4 linked regions of the Nothobranchius furzeri genome follow. The protein of the gene in region 1 interacts with the protein of each later gene in a pairwise test. Links are inferred from orthologs where the notes say so. Each region holds a gene or a part of one and is shown in the gene's direction. Other genes may lie near its edges.

What was found.
Region 2: the proteins of cep76 (region 1) and nhlrc2 interact in binary tests that used the Homo sapiens proteins (3 or more experiments, as listed by UniProt). The two-hybrid records come from large-scale screens. The link is inferred for Nothobranchius furzeri from reciprocal best matches to the Homo sapiens genes CEP76 and NHLRC2.
Region 3: the proteins of cep76 (region 1) and pard6b interact in binary tests that used the Homo sapiens proteins (3 or more experiments, as listed by UniProt). The two-hybrid records come from large-scale screens. The link is inferred for Nothobranchius furzeri from reciprocal best matches to the Homo sapiens genes CEP76 and PARD6B.
Region 4: the proteins of cep76 (region 1) and kiaa1143 interact in binary tests that used the Homo sapiens proteins (3 or more experiments, as listed by UniProt). The two-hybrid records come from large-scale screens. The link is inferred for Nothobranchius furzeri from reciprocal best matches to the Homo sapiens genes CEP76 and KIAA1143.

What each region holds. Positions count from the first base shown.
Region 1 is NC_091745.1:49,058,741-49,062,254, forward strand, and holds part of cep76 (centrosomal protein of 76 kDa), read left to right. Parts: intron 1-136; coding exon 137-265; intron 266-454; coding exon 455-643; intron 644-2,330; coding exon 2,331-2,497; intron 2,498-3,107; coding exon 3,108-3,267; intron 3,268-3,514. UniProt on the Homo sapiens protein: Centrosomal protein involved in regulation of centriole duplication. Required to limit centriole duplication to once per cell cycle by preventing centriole reduplication.
Region 2 is NC_091756.1:38,299,117-38,303,232, reverse strand, and holds the start of nhlrc2 (NHL repeat-containing protein 2), read left to right. Parts: upstream 1-1,315; 5' UTR 1,316-1,358; coding exon 1,359-1,518; intron 1,519-4,116. Other genes in the region: dclre1a (DNA cross-link repair 1A protein), read right to left, coding at 400-796. UniProt on the Homo sapiens protein: Required for normal embryonic development.
Region 3 is NC_091755.1:48,112,514-48,116,778, reverse strand, and holds the start of pard6b (partitioning defective 6 homolog beta), read left to right. Parts: upstream 1-1,464; 5' UTR 1,465-1,597; coding exon 1,598-1,660; intron 1,661-3,623; coding exon 3,624-3,846; intron 3,847-4,265. UniProt on the Homo sapiens protein: Adapter protein involved in asymmetrical cell division and cell polarization processes. Probably involved in formation of epithelial tight junctions.
Region 4 is NC_091745.1:80,717,565-80,721,217, forward strand, and holds kiaa1143 (uncharacterized protein KIAA1143 homolog), read left to right. Parts: upstream 1-1,305; 5' UTR 1,306-1,396; coding exon 1,397-1,510; intron 1,511-1,987; coding exon 1,988-2,135; intron 2,136-2,223; coding exon 2,224-2,429; 3' UTR 2,430-3,152; downstream 3,153-3,653. Other genes in the region: transmembrane protein 42, read right to left, coding at 1-63, 150-296, 669-821.

The sequences.
Region 1 (3,514 bases):
CTAATCTCTGTGGTCTAAGACTGAATGGTTACAGCAGAACTCCATCACTGTGCTCATGAAGCGACGATCTGTGGAAACGAACTCAGAGCTGTGAGGGAAACATGTTTGCTGATGATGTCGTACGCCCCCCCTTCAGCAATCCCTGGAGAGACAGAGGACAGCAGAGAAGGAGAGGCTCTTCCTGGTTTATGCCAAGCAGTGGTGGAGAGAGTTCCTGGAGATCCGACCTTCTCACCAGTCCAAACTGGTGAAGATCTTTGCTCAGGTCAGCTATTGTTGCTGAGTTCTGCCTCCCTCTTTAGCACTTCACATGCAAGTGACCACTTCCTCTGAGGTCTACTGGCTCTCTTACAGTGTGTGACGTGGTTTTGGGAGGAGAAATTCTCACACTTCAGCCTTAAATGTAATCTCTGAGCATTCCCTGATTTGTGGGGGGTGTCTGCACGCTTGACAGGATGAGAACGGAGTCAACAGACCAGTGTGTTCGTACGTGCGTGTCCTTCGTGCCGGCCGCCTCCTGGAGAGTCCTCGACAGGCCGCCCGCTTCGTCAGCCTGCTGGCTCACCAGAGGCCTCCAGTGGTGGGAGGGGGGGCCAAGCAGGAGCAGTGGTGCACATTACTGGCGTTCCTGTGCCGGGGGAAGGTACGTGCCTGGCGCTTCCTTTTGTTTCAGGACCGAGAAACACGTTTAGAGAATTCTCTCAACATCCACCTCGTAACAAAAGAGGTTGTCACAAACAGACATCACAGCAGATCCCAGCGACAAGAAACGAGTCCAAGGTGGTCATCGGTGTTTATACCAAGTCCTGTAGGGGGGTTAGGGCTATCAGTGAGCTGGTGGTGTTGGACGGTACTTTTTTCATTTAAAGGTGGACGACATGTAAAAGCCATGCGAACAGGCTTCATTTTGAAAAGTAACAGTTTTAAGGTCCAACCTTCTGTCTACAAGCCCTCGCTCTATAGTCATAGGAAGTGGTGTAACACCTGGTGCAGCGGATACGGTCAGAAACATGACGTTCTCTTAGGTCTTTTGTTGGTTCGTTCTGTCTTTGGTATGTTCTTGCTGTGTTGCTTTTCTAACGGCGTTGTTGGTTCTCTTTTAAAACACAGAAAAGGTTTCTTTTTACCTTGCTGCTGACAGTTTCGTTCGCGGCTGCAAACTTCCTCAGAGCTGACGCTGATGGTGGCGTCACTTCCTACTCCGTTTATCCGCGGTTCGTTCTGCGTTTCACTTCATAATCCATTACAGTTTAGTAAAAAAGAGTTTTTCACCTGACATCAATCAATCAATCAATCAAAGCTTTATTTGTAAAGCGCCTTCCTCAACCCTGTCAGGAAGCCCAAGGCGCTGAACATGGTACAGTAGAAGTACAAATATAGTGAATAAATCAAAAATAATAGCAATTCAGAAATAAAAGCAATTCAAATTACAAAATACAAATGACATGTTTCGACTGATGCCTCGAGCCATCATCAGAGATCGCTGGTGCTTCCGTTTGTCCGCGGGCTGCAGAGGACGGTGTTGAAGTCGTGTTTACCTGACCTGTAGTTTTCCACCTTTTAATAGAACGCTGTGGGTTTGGGGCTGTAGCTGCATCGCTTCCCTGCAGAGTTCTTATAGAAAACTTGTATTACCTCCTACATGCAGGGTGAGTGTGCTGCACTGAAAACTAACTAGCTTCCTCCTCTCAGAAATGTGGCCCGGCTGCCCTCGCATGACCCTAACTTCTGAGCAGGGCAGTGTTGTTCCTGAGGTCATCTTGCCTTGATGGTGGGGAGTTTCCCAGACCACCACAGGATAAATGTTCAGTTCCTCTTCTCTGTGAGAGGCCGGCGAGACAGACGCAGCACAATTCTGGCAAAGTGGTCCTTGTCAGTGGTGATTTATGAGTTTCATTCCAGGGAAAATTAATTTAGCCCATCAGTCGCCCACCTGTTCTGGTGCTGCCGTCCACATTAGCACTTCTGTGGAACATCTATCATCTAGCAGTCCCGGTTCAGCCGAGGCCTCTTCACTAGAAGGCTCGTTCAGCTGAAATGAGAGTAGTTAGGGTTATGTCTTCTTCTGCAGACTCGTCGCATATGAGAAAGCCCGAGAGTGCACCAAAAAGACTCATTCAGTTTTAAAACATCACAGGTGCTGCTGTTCCCCAGTTTGGATAAGAAAGATTTGCTGGCAATACAAGATTTGTGGTCAGTCGATCAAAACATAACCTAAGATCTCCCCAAGGTTACTTAGGATGATGCACAAACAGCTTAGGATCTGACAGAAGTAACTTAGGGTATCGTAAAAGGTGACTTTCCTCGTCCTGTGTGCTTTGTCCTTCCAGGGAGACTGTGAGGACCATGCTGCTCTCCTGTGCAGCCTCCTGCTGGGCTTTGGTCTAGATGCATACATGTGTGTGGGCACCAAAGCCAAAGGTGTTTCACACGCCTGGGTCCTGACCCGTGGAACCGACGGGACCATCACCTTCTGGGAAAGTCTGACGGCACATAGGTGCATTTTTAACGTTTGTCTTTGACATTTCAGAGAAAACCTAATTAGTCCACAGTGGTCCTTTGTTTTAGTGTGTGTGTGTGTGTGTGTGTGTGTGTGTGTGTGTGTGTGTGTGTGTGTGTGTGTGTGTGTGTGTGTGTGTGTGTGTGTGTGTGTGTGTGTGTGTGTGTGTGTGTGTGTGTGTGTGTGTGTGTGTGTGTGTGTGTGTGTGTGTGTGTGTGTGAGAGAGAAGGAGAGAGTGAGGGTGTGTCTGTGTGTGTACGTAAGTGTGTATGTACATGTGTTTGCGTTTTGTGTGTGTGTGTGTGAGAGAGAGAGAAGGAGAGAGTGAGGGTGTGTGTGTGTGTGTGTGTACGTAAGTGTGTATGTACATGTGTTTGCGTTTTGTGTGTGTGTGTGTGAGAGAGAGAGAAGGAGAGAGTGAGGGTGTGTGTGTGTGTGTACGTAAGTGTGTATGTACATGTGTTTGCGTTTTGTTTATCTGTGTGTGTGTGTGTGTGTGTGTGAGAGAAATAAACAGGATTAACTCAGAGTCTTATGATGAAATTTCCCTGAAACCAGCAGCCAGGCTTTGGCCCACAGGACATTTATTTCCTGTTTGCGTGATCAGATATCTGCACCGAGCCGTTGATCCAGACGCACCTCCCCTGGCCCTCCAACCCAAGCCTTCTTCCCCGTACCGGACCGTGGGCTGTGTCTTCAACCACCAGAGCTTCCTGGCAAACTGCCAGCCCTCTGATGCCGTAGAGCTCTGCGTCTTTGACTTCCAGGTCAGAACGCATTTTACCACAAACATCGGTTGTTCTGGCTTTTTGTTACTGTTTTAATTTGCTTTTCTTAACATTTAATGTTCCATTTAGACCCAGGGCCACTTTTGGCCCGCCTCTCATTCGATCTCTCCTGCAAACTAAGATAATAATGAATTTATCTTAAAACAGCCTTTAGCTTTTAGACCAACTAGCAAAACTATTAGCTCTGCAGGTCGGTCTAGCCACGCTCCATTGTAGCTTCAGCAGG
Region 2 (4,116 bases), on another chromosome or scaffold:
CACAGACTGATTTGAATCGTGTGTTGCTTCAACAATTTCTTCAGGCACTAGTGAACATCTGTTATAACAAGTAACCATGCCAACAGGAGAGTTGATATACACCGGGATGGATGATTAATGAACAGAATAATGCCCGTAATCAGATTCCAAATGTCCCAAAAGTTGGAAAACACTGCAGATGTAGACTAGAAGTAAACATGAGTGAAGGAAGGAAGAAGAGTATTCTTCTCCTGGTTGTCATGGGGATATAAGCTCTGAGCATCGGAGCAGGAATACATTAATAAGCATCATGTCAAGAGAGGCTAAAACAGATGAGTGTAAATGCAAATACAGCCCATCACGTGTGTGTGTGTGTGTGTGTGTGTGTGTGTGTGTGTGTGTTAGATGTGTCAGTTTTACCTTCACATTTGTCTCTGCAGGTGTCCAGACACTCAGCAACGTGCCACCTCTGGGACTGAACAACCAGAATGAAGAAAGGCATCTGGCAGATGGGACAGTAGTCTTCAGAGGGTGTCCCTGCCTCATGACTGTCTCTTTCGACTGTCTCTTTAGCAGGAGTCAACAGGGTAGCCTCTAACCTGCTGTCTTCCTCCTCATCCCCAGCAGCAGCTCCACTTTCGCCTGATTCTTCTGTTTTACTCTCCTTGTGAGACTTGACTGGAACAGAAGTGTCTTTCCTGGACGTTTTCCTAGAAGGGCATCTTCTGGTCACAAACTGTGATTTATTGCTTCTTTTTTTCTTCATGAGGGGTTTATAATCCCAAATGTCGCTTTCAGAGTCGTCCTTTTGTGACATTTGAACCGTTTCCCCACAACACTCTTTATTACACTAGTACTGCTGAAGGATAACATTCCAGGGACGACTGCTGTGCTAATACAGATGGTCCTTATTGCTTTGCATGAATTCTACGCTAAGTAATCATCGAAAAATAAGTAATTAATTACGACAGAGTCATGTTTTCTTAAAATATAACGTTTCCTCCTGAATGTTTTAGTGCAAGCAACACTTACCGCCACACAGTAAACCGGTTACTAACGTTAATACTCCAAGATCAACCCAGCCGCACTTTCTACACAATCACTGAACTAGAACTCCTTACTTAGCTGACTTTATCAGTTGAAAATATAAATTTTCATAAAACTTTGATTAACTCCGTTTAAAATAGGTGTAATATTAAAGGTTTTCTTTACAGGAACAATATTTTTGTTTCACGTTTGTATCGAAACCAGGGTTGGGAATCTACATCATTACTTTATAGCTCGGCGGTGATTGGCTGTTGAGATTCCCGGTTCTGATTGGGCAATTTGCTGTTGGGCAATCGGCGATACTTCCGGGTAAATTTGTTGTTGATGTCAACATGGCGTCCCAGTGCAGTCTCTCTACACTTTTTCCTTTACAGAGTCAGCTTGAATGTGATTTAGATGAGGCTACGACTGAAGATAAGGAACAACTTGTCCATCAGTATCTGAAAAAATTAGACGATGGGGAGGACATGAAGACGCCCGATTTCCACCCAGGTTGAATCAAGTTTCAGCTTTAGCCTAGCAAAGCAGCTCTGCTAAAGAGTTTTACGTGTGTTTTCTAACTTACCGTTTAAACACAGTTCTGAACTTGTTTACAAAATGAAGTAACTGATTACCTGCGTTTATTTATTTTTTGTGGTAACCCAAGAGTTAACTCCAAATGGTGTCGGGCATAACTTTCTTACATTGCATTTTTTTGCTCCTAGTAATTTGAGCAGAGCTGCAACTAAATTTAAACTTTGACCAAAAAGTAAAGCAACTACTTTGTTTAGGTCTGACATTCCAGTCCTCATGAGGAACCACAGCAAAAAAAAAAAATTTAAAACTTTAAAAGAAACCTTTATTTCCAGCGGTTGAGACTCAATAATAGACAGCATGTCATTACGAAATTTAATGTTTTTCACTTTTATTCATGTAAATAAGTTTTTCTTAGACTGAGGCTCTTTCTTTTTCATTCATAATACTGATTATATTTATAATGTCTGTTACTAAACCAGGGAGGAGATCATATAGCGTGTTGGCAATAATTAATCACACCAGTAGATGGTGACCTTTAGCCCCACTACCCTGCCATTCAGCTGGAGTTTCTCCCCATAGATTACTTTATTGCTTCAATATTAATGCATAACTTGTTTTGTAACCAGCATAAATTAGCATAGTCCTCAGTTTCATCGTACAGTCTTGTGGAGTGATAAATAATTCTAATTCTCATTATGACATTGATCATGATTAATACAATCTCCAAAAATTCAGAAACATTGTGCATCGGCCCTGCATTATTCTTAGCTGTACTTTTCTAATAGAAATATAGGTATGAATCAACGTCTACACCTAAAGTAGCATTATTTTTGTTTTTTCATTTTTTATTTTGCTTCTTTATTTCATTCAAAGAAAAAAATATGTAAAAAAAAAACAAGATCAGAATAAAATCAATAAACATAAAATTCTATCCAAAGGAGCAGACAGAAGAATACATCTTATGAAGCTCTGCCCCACATCAAATATGGTGTAATCATCGCGTTATAGAGAGTTAACATTCCAGAATTATTCAATAAACTTTAAATTCTGTGTAATACTGCAATGGCCTTAGCTATTGTACCCTTAATGTGTATAATATGGGGTTTCCATGAAAGATTTTCATCAAACATAACACACAAAAATTTGATTTCCTTTACCCTCTTAAGTCCCATACCATCCATTTTCAACGATACGTTAATTTTCTTAAGATGAAGTGACAACCTGTTTGTGTCAAACCAGTTTGTGATTTTCATTAACTCATCATTTATCTCTTTGATACCTTCAGCAATGTTAGACCCTGAATGAAACAAAGTTGTATCGTCAGCAAATAATAAGCTTCCAAGTTGCGGAGATACATTCATTAAATCATTTATGTACAATAAAAACAGTTTTGGGCCTAGAACTGACCCCTGAGGAGCACCATGACCAATTTCCCTCAATTGTGATTTAATATTATCTATCTGAACAAATTGTTTTCTATTTTCTAAGTAACTTCTCGCCCATTGATGTGCCACACCTCTGATTCCATAGCCATGTAATTTTTGTTATAACCTATCATAATCTATAACATCAAAAGTTTTTTTAAATCAATAAAAATACTTAGAAAATATTGTTTATTGTCTGTTGCTGTTGATATTCTATTATCCAATTCCATTATAGCCATAGCAGTTGAGTGATTGGCCCTGAAGCCATACTGTCCATTATTTAGAACACTATTTTCCTCAATAAACGTATCCATCCGTGTAACAAAGATTTATTCCATAATTTTAGAAAACTGTGGAAGCAGTGATTTTGGTCGATAATTAGTAACATTTTGTTTATCACCATTCTTAAATAATGGGACCACTTTAGCCATTTTCATTGCATTAGGAAATACTCCCAATGAAAGTGACGAATTACAAATATATGTAAATGGTTCAACAACAGTTTCAATTATACTTTTTACCATGATCATATCCAAATCCTCATTATCATTAGATCTTTTGTTTCCACAGTTTTTTACAATGTCAATCACTTCATTCTTTTCAACCTTAGTAAGGTGAATGCTATTAGGATTTTCTGTAATAGTATTCAGTTTGTCTTCTACGTTTGGTTTTGTACGTATCAAACTAGTCCCTACACTTACAAAGAAGTCATTAAACTCGTTAGTGACTTCTTTGAAGTCATAAATATCAGTTTGTCCCTTGACAAAGTAACTAGGCAAATTAGAATCAGCTTTATTTACCCTGGTGGTCACACTGTTTATTATTCCCCGGGTAGCTTGTGAATTGTTTTCATTTCTGTTTAACAATTCACTATAATAATTATTTTTGTGTTTCCTTATGATTGTGGTTAATTTAGTTGTATGTTTTTTATATTTTTCCTCAGCCTCCGTCTGTAATTTAAGAACACGTCTGTACAAAGTGTTTGTCTTTACACAAGCATTCTTTATGCCATTAGTCAACCAAGGATGAAGTTCACTACCAAACTTAATTTGTTGTAATTTACAATGTTTATTATTTAGTTCCATTAGGATTTTCATGAATTTATCATATGCAACATTAACATCCTTAACATAAACTTCATTCCAGTTTT
Region 3 (4,265 bases), on another chromosome or scaffold:
AACGACAACAAAAGGATGAGCTGACCTTCTGCTCATTAGGAGCGCTTTATGAGCTGGAGGAGGCGGTGAAAGAGCCGAGCTCTGGCATCACTATCTGACATGTCTCAGTTTATTTCTGGGATTAGTTCATTTTTAATTTGTCACTGTTTCACTTTGAAGGAAAAAGGAAAACAAAGGCCTAATCCACATTATATTTCATGAACAGAGCTGCAGAAACAGTTAGAGGAATCCTCATTTCACCCGGGAGCCGCATCCTTCCAAACCAGAAATGCAGTTTTAGATTAAATCTGGAAAAAAAGACCACGACATTTAATTTACTGGATGCAGTGATGAAGGTGATTTCATATATAAATACACTAGTTTCTGCTAGGTTCACTTTCCATGTTATTACATATTATAAGAGACTTTCCACATGTCAAATGACAAATTAGTTTACAAAGACATTAGAAATTAATGACATATTTTCTTATTTTAGATTTGATTTAATGTAATCTGTATAAAATTATAAACTAGTGTTATAAGGTCTTCACACTGTTGGTAAAACATGCCTGTTTCTGCAGTGACCTCACTTTGTGGCCAGGGGGTGGCGCTGTAGTGTTAGAATAAAAAGTCAACGTGGTTAATGCTTTCTTCAAACTTATTGAACTTGTTAATAGTATAAATACATTAAACCTGATTACAAGGCACGTTTGCTGCAAATCAGGACATCATGAAAAATGTGTTTGTCTAAACAGATTTATTCTTTCATTTATTGCACTCTGTGCAATTAGGAATAATGACTGTGCTTTGAATACATTTAACTTTATTTTTAAGCTGTAAAACTGGACTCAATATATATATATATATATATATATATATATATATATATATATATATATATATATATATATATATATATATATATATATATGTATGTATATATACCGATATTGCAGCCTTCAGTACTGACCGACACCGATATCAATCTGATACGATATCAGCACAAATCATACATACTTTTATCTATAACTTCTTATATATATATATATATATATATATATATATATATATATATATATATATATAGAGAGAGAGAGAGAGAGAGAGAGAGAGAGAGAGAGAGAGAGAGAGAGAGAGAGAGAGAGAGAAACATAATATTTTTATGTGATTTATTGTCCATCTAGTATTAATCTTGTTGCTTGGATTAAGATTACCAAACCCTTTCAGGTTTTTGTAATGCGATTATAAAAACGAACCTTATTTTGAAGCCAGCGGAGTCACAGAGGCTTTTATTTTGAAGCGTCCGGGTCTTTCAGCTTCTGAAGAGGCAGACGGTCCGTTCGGGGGCGGGTGGCGGACACACACCGAGAGGCACCAACTGAGCGGCGTCGGAGCCAGAGTTGCAAAAATGAGAGGAGAGAAGTTCACAGACTGAGACAGGCTGCTTGACAGCCGTCGCAACGTTTTTGGGAGCGACTTCAGCGACCGGTGGACGCCGAGACGTGGCGGGACAGTTTGTGTTCCTGGAAAAATACCACTCTTTTCGGTGTTACGGTAACTGCAGCAGGGCGGTGTGTGTTTATGAGTGCCTTGGCGGCGGTCCCGCTGCTACCGAAACATGAACAAGACCCACCGAGTGCCGAGCAGCCGCTCTCTGAGTGCCGTGGAGGTGAAGAGCAAGGTGAGACGGGACGTTTTTCTCAGTTTTACGCGCTAACTCTGTGGCGATTACTCTAGCTAATTTAGCCTGCTAAGTGGCTCGGCTGGCTATGGTCGCGCGCTAATGGCACGTATAAACTGCGCTGATTCGGACCCTCTCTAAGCGGCGGTAACTTTTGAGCGCAGTGTGACGCAGGAACATTTAGTTAGTTTTATTCTGTAAGTTTGAAGGTGGAGGTTCGTGTCAGCTGGTCGGGCCAGTGTCACCTGTCACTTCCTCCGCCGCTCCCTCTATTCGGTTACCGACGTTTCCCCAACCTCCCGTTTATGTAACGGATTTTTAATCGTTAATGACCATTAAAGCCTCCACGAAGGTGTCGCTACCTGCTGGTCATGGAACTATTTGTTCCTGGTGTGCAGGTGTCATTCGGCTTCAGCAGGTGGTAGCCTGGCTCCTTCCGCGGCCAGCTAGCCGTGTCTAGTCCACAGCATAAGTACCGTAGTTACTGTTTGTTGTTATGATAGTACTAGTTTAATTTTTATAACTTCTTTTGGGTTAACATGCTTCTCAGCCTCATCACAAAGTTATAGAAGTGTGTTTTCCAAACTGAGATGTGAAGAGGAACTAAATAGTTCCCTTTCCTCATATTTAGGACTCACCTTTTTACCTCCAAACCTGTGTTGTGTACATATCTGTGCTCTGATGAGTAACTAGTGACCAGTGAATTAGAGATTGTTCATTGTCAGTGCTTGGCAACGGTAACCACAACAACCACTACTTCCTGTCAACATCAGCAATGAGGCATTGGTGTGTGTGTGTGTGTGTGTGTGTGTGTGTGTGTGTGTGTGTGTGTGTGTGTGTGTGTGTGTGTCAGCTACACAGCTGCCAGAAGATCAGGCATCTGAGACCATTTATCTACTAACCTGCAGCGTTTATTAGGGGATGCATTTGAGCTGAAAATAGGGATGTTCCATTCCGATATCGATATCTGAAGTAATTGGATGTTGGCCAACAAACAGAGTATGGGATTATATCAGACAGCATCAAAAATCTCTCATATAAGCAGTCCATTAAGCTTCACATATTTGCAACCAATGGTTAAGAAAAAATTGTCATTTTTTTCATACTTACTGTCATTGGCTCTTGTTCTCCGATTGAGTAATATCACCTCATCAAGCCTTTCATCCATTCCACACTACGAAATAGGTAAAAGTATGTATGATTTGTGCTGATATCGTATCAGATTGATATCGGTATCGGTCAGTACTGAAGGCTGCAATATCGGTATCGTATCGGAACTGAAAAAGTTGTATCGGGACATCCCTAGCTGACAACACCTTGTTTTGTCTGATGACAGAACCAAACATCCTGTAAGGCCTGTTGATAAGACGGTCTTATTCACCTCTTGAATTTATTGCATCCACAAACCCATAGGGATGCAACGATACCACTTTTTCCCAGACCGATACAATACTGATACTTGGATCTGAGTACTCGCCGATACCGATTACCTATACCGATACTTCTACCACACAAAAAAATGCAATGATTTGGAATACAGATTTTATTTTCTTCTCTGCTTTCAACAGGAAAGACTGTGAGGTAGATAAAAAGTAAAATATATGAATAGAAATGATCACAAAACTAAAATATTAGGTGAACAGAAATGACAAGTTACAGTCAAGCCATTTTCAAGCAACTGCATTGGTATCGGTTAACTTTTACCAATACTGGTATTGGTATCGGTATCGTGCCGATACCAGTATCGTATCGGTGCATCCCTACAAACACATGCTGTCTAGTCGCAGTGTTTAATAATGTGTTATGTTAGCTTTTACATGTGGAAGCCAGACTCATTACGGTTTTATACTCATTACTCCTTCCACGTCATTTTTTCTACATCCCAGCAGCTCTAGTTCTAACCTTTTTGATGTCTTTTTGCATATTTATTCTCGCGTCCTAATACCTGTCTGCCCCGTCCCAGTTTGGTGCTGAGTTTCGTCGGTTCTCGCTGGACCGGTCGAAACCAGGTCGCTTCGATGAGTTCTATGGGCTCCTGCAGCACGTACATCACATCCCCAATGTGGAGTTGTTGGTGGCCTACGCTGATGTTCACGGGGACCTGCTGCCCATCAACAATGATGACAACTACCACAAGGCAATCTCCACAGCGAACCCTCTACTCCGGCTCTTTCTGCAGAGGAAAGGTAAGAGACGGTCTTAACTGTAACCCACTTCATGATGCTAGATTTGCTCTCTAGCAGAAGTTCAAGTATATTGTTTTGATTTTAAACTCAGAAATATAGAGTCAGTCATTTATTTTGCTGGGCCAGGGGTCGTCTTTCTGATTGTTCCAACCAATACTAACAATGGGAAATGTCTTCGCACAGGTGATGTTTAGACAGTTTGTGGACATGCAGCAATCCACCAATCACAGTAGTTCTTAATCAGCTTGTGGAAGCAGACCATTTGGAGTCCTTTGCTATTTATGCGTCAATCAACGGTATACTGAGCCACAATTGGTTTAAGCTACGTATGTGAGAATAATGTCATGACTCGAGGTAAGTGTCTAACCCAAGACATGCAGGATCAAACTCGTCGAGCTGGTAGAGTTTAAAGAAAAGTT
Region 4 (3,653 bases), about 32 Mb from region 1:
TGAGATCCCTGCCCACCACAGAGAGGTGTGTGTCTCTCTGAAGACCAGCCTCCCCAGGAGTCCCTGGACACAATCACAGCAGAGGCAACGTGAACGGGACCGCTTTCACCTGGAGCACGTGAGCGAGGACAGGACAGACAAACGCTGACCGAGCAGATGAAGTTGGACGCCGTGGTGGTGACCGTGGCCCCCGCGGAGGAGGAGGCATGGCGGAGAGCCTTGGAGAACATGGTCCACATGACCGCGTTACAGCAGAGCAGCAGACCTCCACACAAGAACCGCAGGGGCACGTGCATCTGAAAGCAGGGACAAAACTTCCGGTGTTTTATCGAAATGTGTTCCCCTGGTGTTCAGTATCCTTCTCTTTTGACCGTAACAGATCGGTGCTTCACCGTTTATTCCGGTTTTTGTCTCCGTTACATGATTACAGCTACACCATGTTAGGACGTTGTTGAGAGGCATGAAAAGTGTTTCCGCTAGCTTCTGTAGCAGATCTAACCAGGAAACACCCCCCATGGCTGGAAATGAAGACCAGTCTTTCACGGGGAACACATTTGTGCGCAGCACCTGCTCCACACCGGAAGAAGGTTCAACAAGACTCCAGAAAAGTTGCGATGTCAGAGATCTGCAAGACGGAAGCTGTAAGATCTAATAAAAGTAGTTATTACCCATCCGCAGACGGAAGCTCCTTCAGACCAGCCGCGCAGCGCGGAGTCGCACATCTCCTGCAGGTAAGCGGGACCCAGGGACAGCTTAGCGGACAGAGACGCTGCGGCGCCCAGAAAACCCGCAAACAGCGCGTAGAGAGATCCGCAAAGCATCTCAGAGGAAGTAGTACAGTAACAAGACTACTTGGAACTACAAGCACCACCTGAACGGAAGTTTGTCATCCCATGTGGGCAGGTGCGGTGAGATTTCACAATAAAGGTCTTATTTGAATCACGTTTTGGCTTTACTGACATTTTTAAGCCAGGAGAAAATATTTGTTGCTCAGTTCGCTGATATATTCTGTAACACTAAGTTTATGTTGTATGTTTTTCTAATGTGCAACATGTAAATGTGTTTAGGTTATATCTAGGAAATTCATCTTTTTTACGCAGTTGTAGTTTTTAAATAAATCAAGTCTTGTTTATCATCATTTTTATAAATCAACTGTTTTCCCCAAATGGCAAACACGCATAATCAAACCCGCACTTTCAGTCTAAACACCAGTAGTTTAAGCCGAAACAATTCCAACCTTTATTCTGAAAGTCTTCTATTCCGGTTGACTTAAGAATGCACGAATCACAGCTGCTCGTGAGGGTCACGTGACCCGCCGCGCGTCTTATCGCGTGGTTTCCGTGTTTTGTGCGGAAGTCGCGTTAGCCCGTAGCTCGTGGTTGTTGTGCCGTTTCTAATGAATAAAAACAGAAGCAGCGGGGTTTCGTGGGTGAAACCGGCGGAACCGTCGTTCCTCACCAAGTTTAAAAGTGACGTCGGCTTCAAAGAAGGACCCAACGTCGACACGAAGGTAGGGTTGGGTTACCTGCGCGGAGTAAACAGGACTCCGTCACCAGCTGGTTAACCTCTGATTCAGATGGGATGTGAGACTCATCAGCTGTTAACCCAGCATCACTGCTAGTTAGTCCCGTTAGTCATCAACATAGCGGTGACTTTACACGTGACCCGTCCGCGTGGGGAGCGGTGAGCTGCAGCTATGGCTGCGCTCGGAAACTATTTGGTGGTTTAACCCCTTAATGCTGAGTGTCAAGCAGGGAGGTCCCACTAGTCCTGGGTGTGACCCGAGCGGGATTTGAACCCCGGCCTCCCACTACAATCATACACTCACACCACTGGGCCACTGGCCAGGTTTAGAGGCCGGGGTGGTTTGGTGAGAGTTCAAAACTACATTTGGTTTTACGCTGATTGTGAAATTAGTTTGATACAGAAGAAGTCTTTCAGGATCAAAATCAGAACTGTAGGTTTTACCTTCCGGTTTGCATCTCAGCGCCAGGTGATGCCAGATCTGGACGATGACGGCGGGAGCGATCGAGAGGACGAGTTACCTCAAGTTGTGGTTCTAAAGAGTGGAGATCTGACTGCAGAGGAGGTGAAGACGATTAAGGATGGAAAGGACGATCAAGTAGATGCAGCAGGTCAGACTGTGGTTACCACACACACACACACACACACACACACACACACACACACACACACTCTTACTCACTCCCGCTCTGCCCACAGGTAGCGAGGCCCCTTCTAAAGGCAAAATCCTGTTCAAGAAGCCGGCCAAGCGCTCCTCTTCAGACAAGTTCCAAGGCATCACTGCCACTTCCAGCAAGAAGAAGAAGAGTGAAGCAGGAAAAGGGGGGGAGGAGGGGAAAACCGGGAGTAAAGTAAAAAACAACAGCCTCCTGTCATTTGGAGGAGACGAGGATGAGGAGGACTGAAGTGAACTGATGCTGCCCGAGATGTAAACTAGCTTGTAAATATTTTGAGCTGCTGCAGCCGTCCCGTGTGAACCGTGTTTCCGTCCTTTAGCCGCTGCCTTCAGGGCATCCAGATGGCTGATTTACGTTTCTACGTGAAACTCTAAAAACTGATTTTCTTGTGTCGGTGAACGCACCACAAGAGCTAAATCAACAGGAACCGACCGGTTTCCGTTTTCATCTCCAGACTCAGTATCTGTACATCAGAAACAAGCCGGCACGTTCCTGAGATCCAGAACCGCCGTTCCTGCTGCGGTTCTCCTGCCCACCAGTCGGACCTTCTACTTTAACATCAGCAGCTCTCCAGATTTCATGAAGGTCTTTAACGTTGGCTGCTGTTAACCAGTTCACTAGCTGATCTTATTCAGATGTTGACCTCTGACCTGTCAATCATCCAGGAGTCAACCGCTAAACCCAAGGGATGAGCCGGTCTTCTCTGTGGAGCAGCCTCCCAGTGATTCATGTAGTCATGAACGTTCCTCTGGTGCTGGTTTCACCTGCAGCTGTTTGGAGATCAGGTCTTACTGGTCACCTTCCAGTAAAACCACTTCTGGGACTGGGAATCGTGGTGTTCCGTTTTCCTCCGTTAGCTTCAGGCTCGTGGTCCGTTTGTGTGTGAATAATGAATTTTTACGGTCGGTCTTGCTGCAACGTTTGATAGAAACAATAAAGAATTTAAACCTTTCTGATAGTTTTCTGCATTCAGCCCAACAGCACTCCAAACCCTACAGTGAAACATTCATCCATTCACACGCCGATGGTAGCCTGGGATTGAACCTGCAACCCACCGGTTACAGGGAGAACTCTTAACCTGAGCCACGGCGGCTCCTCCCGCCCTCCTGAACCCGTTTGGTGCCGAGGAATGAACCCAAACATCTCAGAGACGAGTTATTTTAACCTCTTTATTCCAAAGGCGCGCTTCATTCTCACACCTGCACCCTCCTCATTACAATTGATGGAAGAATCAGACCAACGAAAATCTGCTCTAGGTCCTGTCCAGCTCTCGCAGAGGCGGGAACGGGCAGACAGGTGAAAACGAGCCAATCGGATGTCTGCATGAAGCCAAAATGTCTCAGAACTGTTCGATGGGATCAGAGCGGCGGCTGCAGAGGGGAGACGACCTTCTGAAGCGTCATTCAGTCCGTTTCTGATCATTTTGATCTGCTGCATTCTGGGAAATCTGAG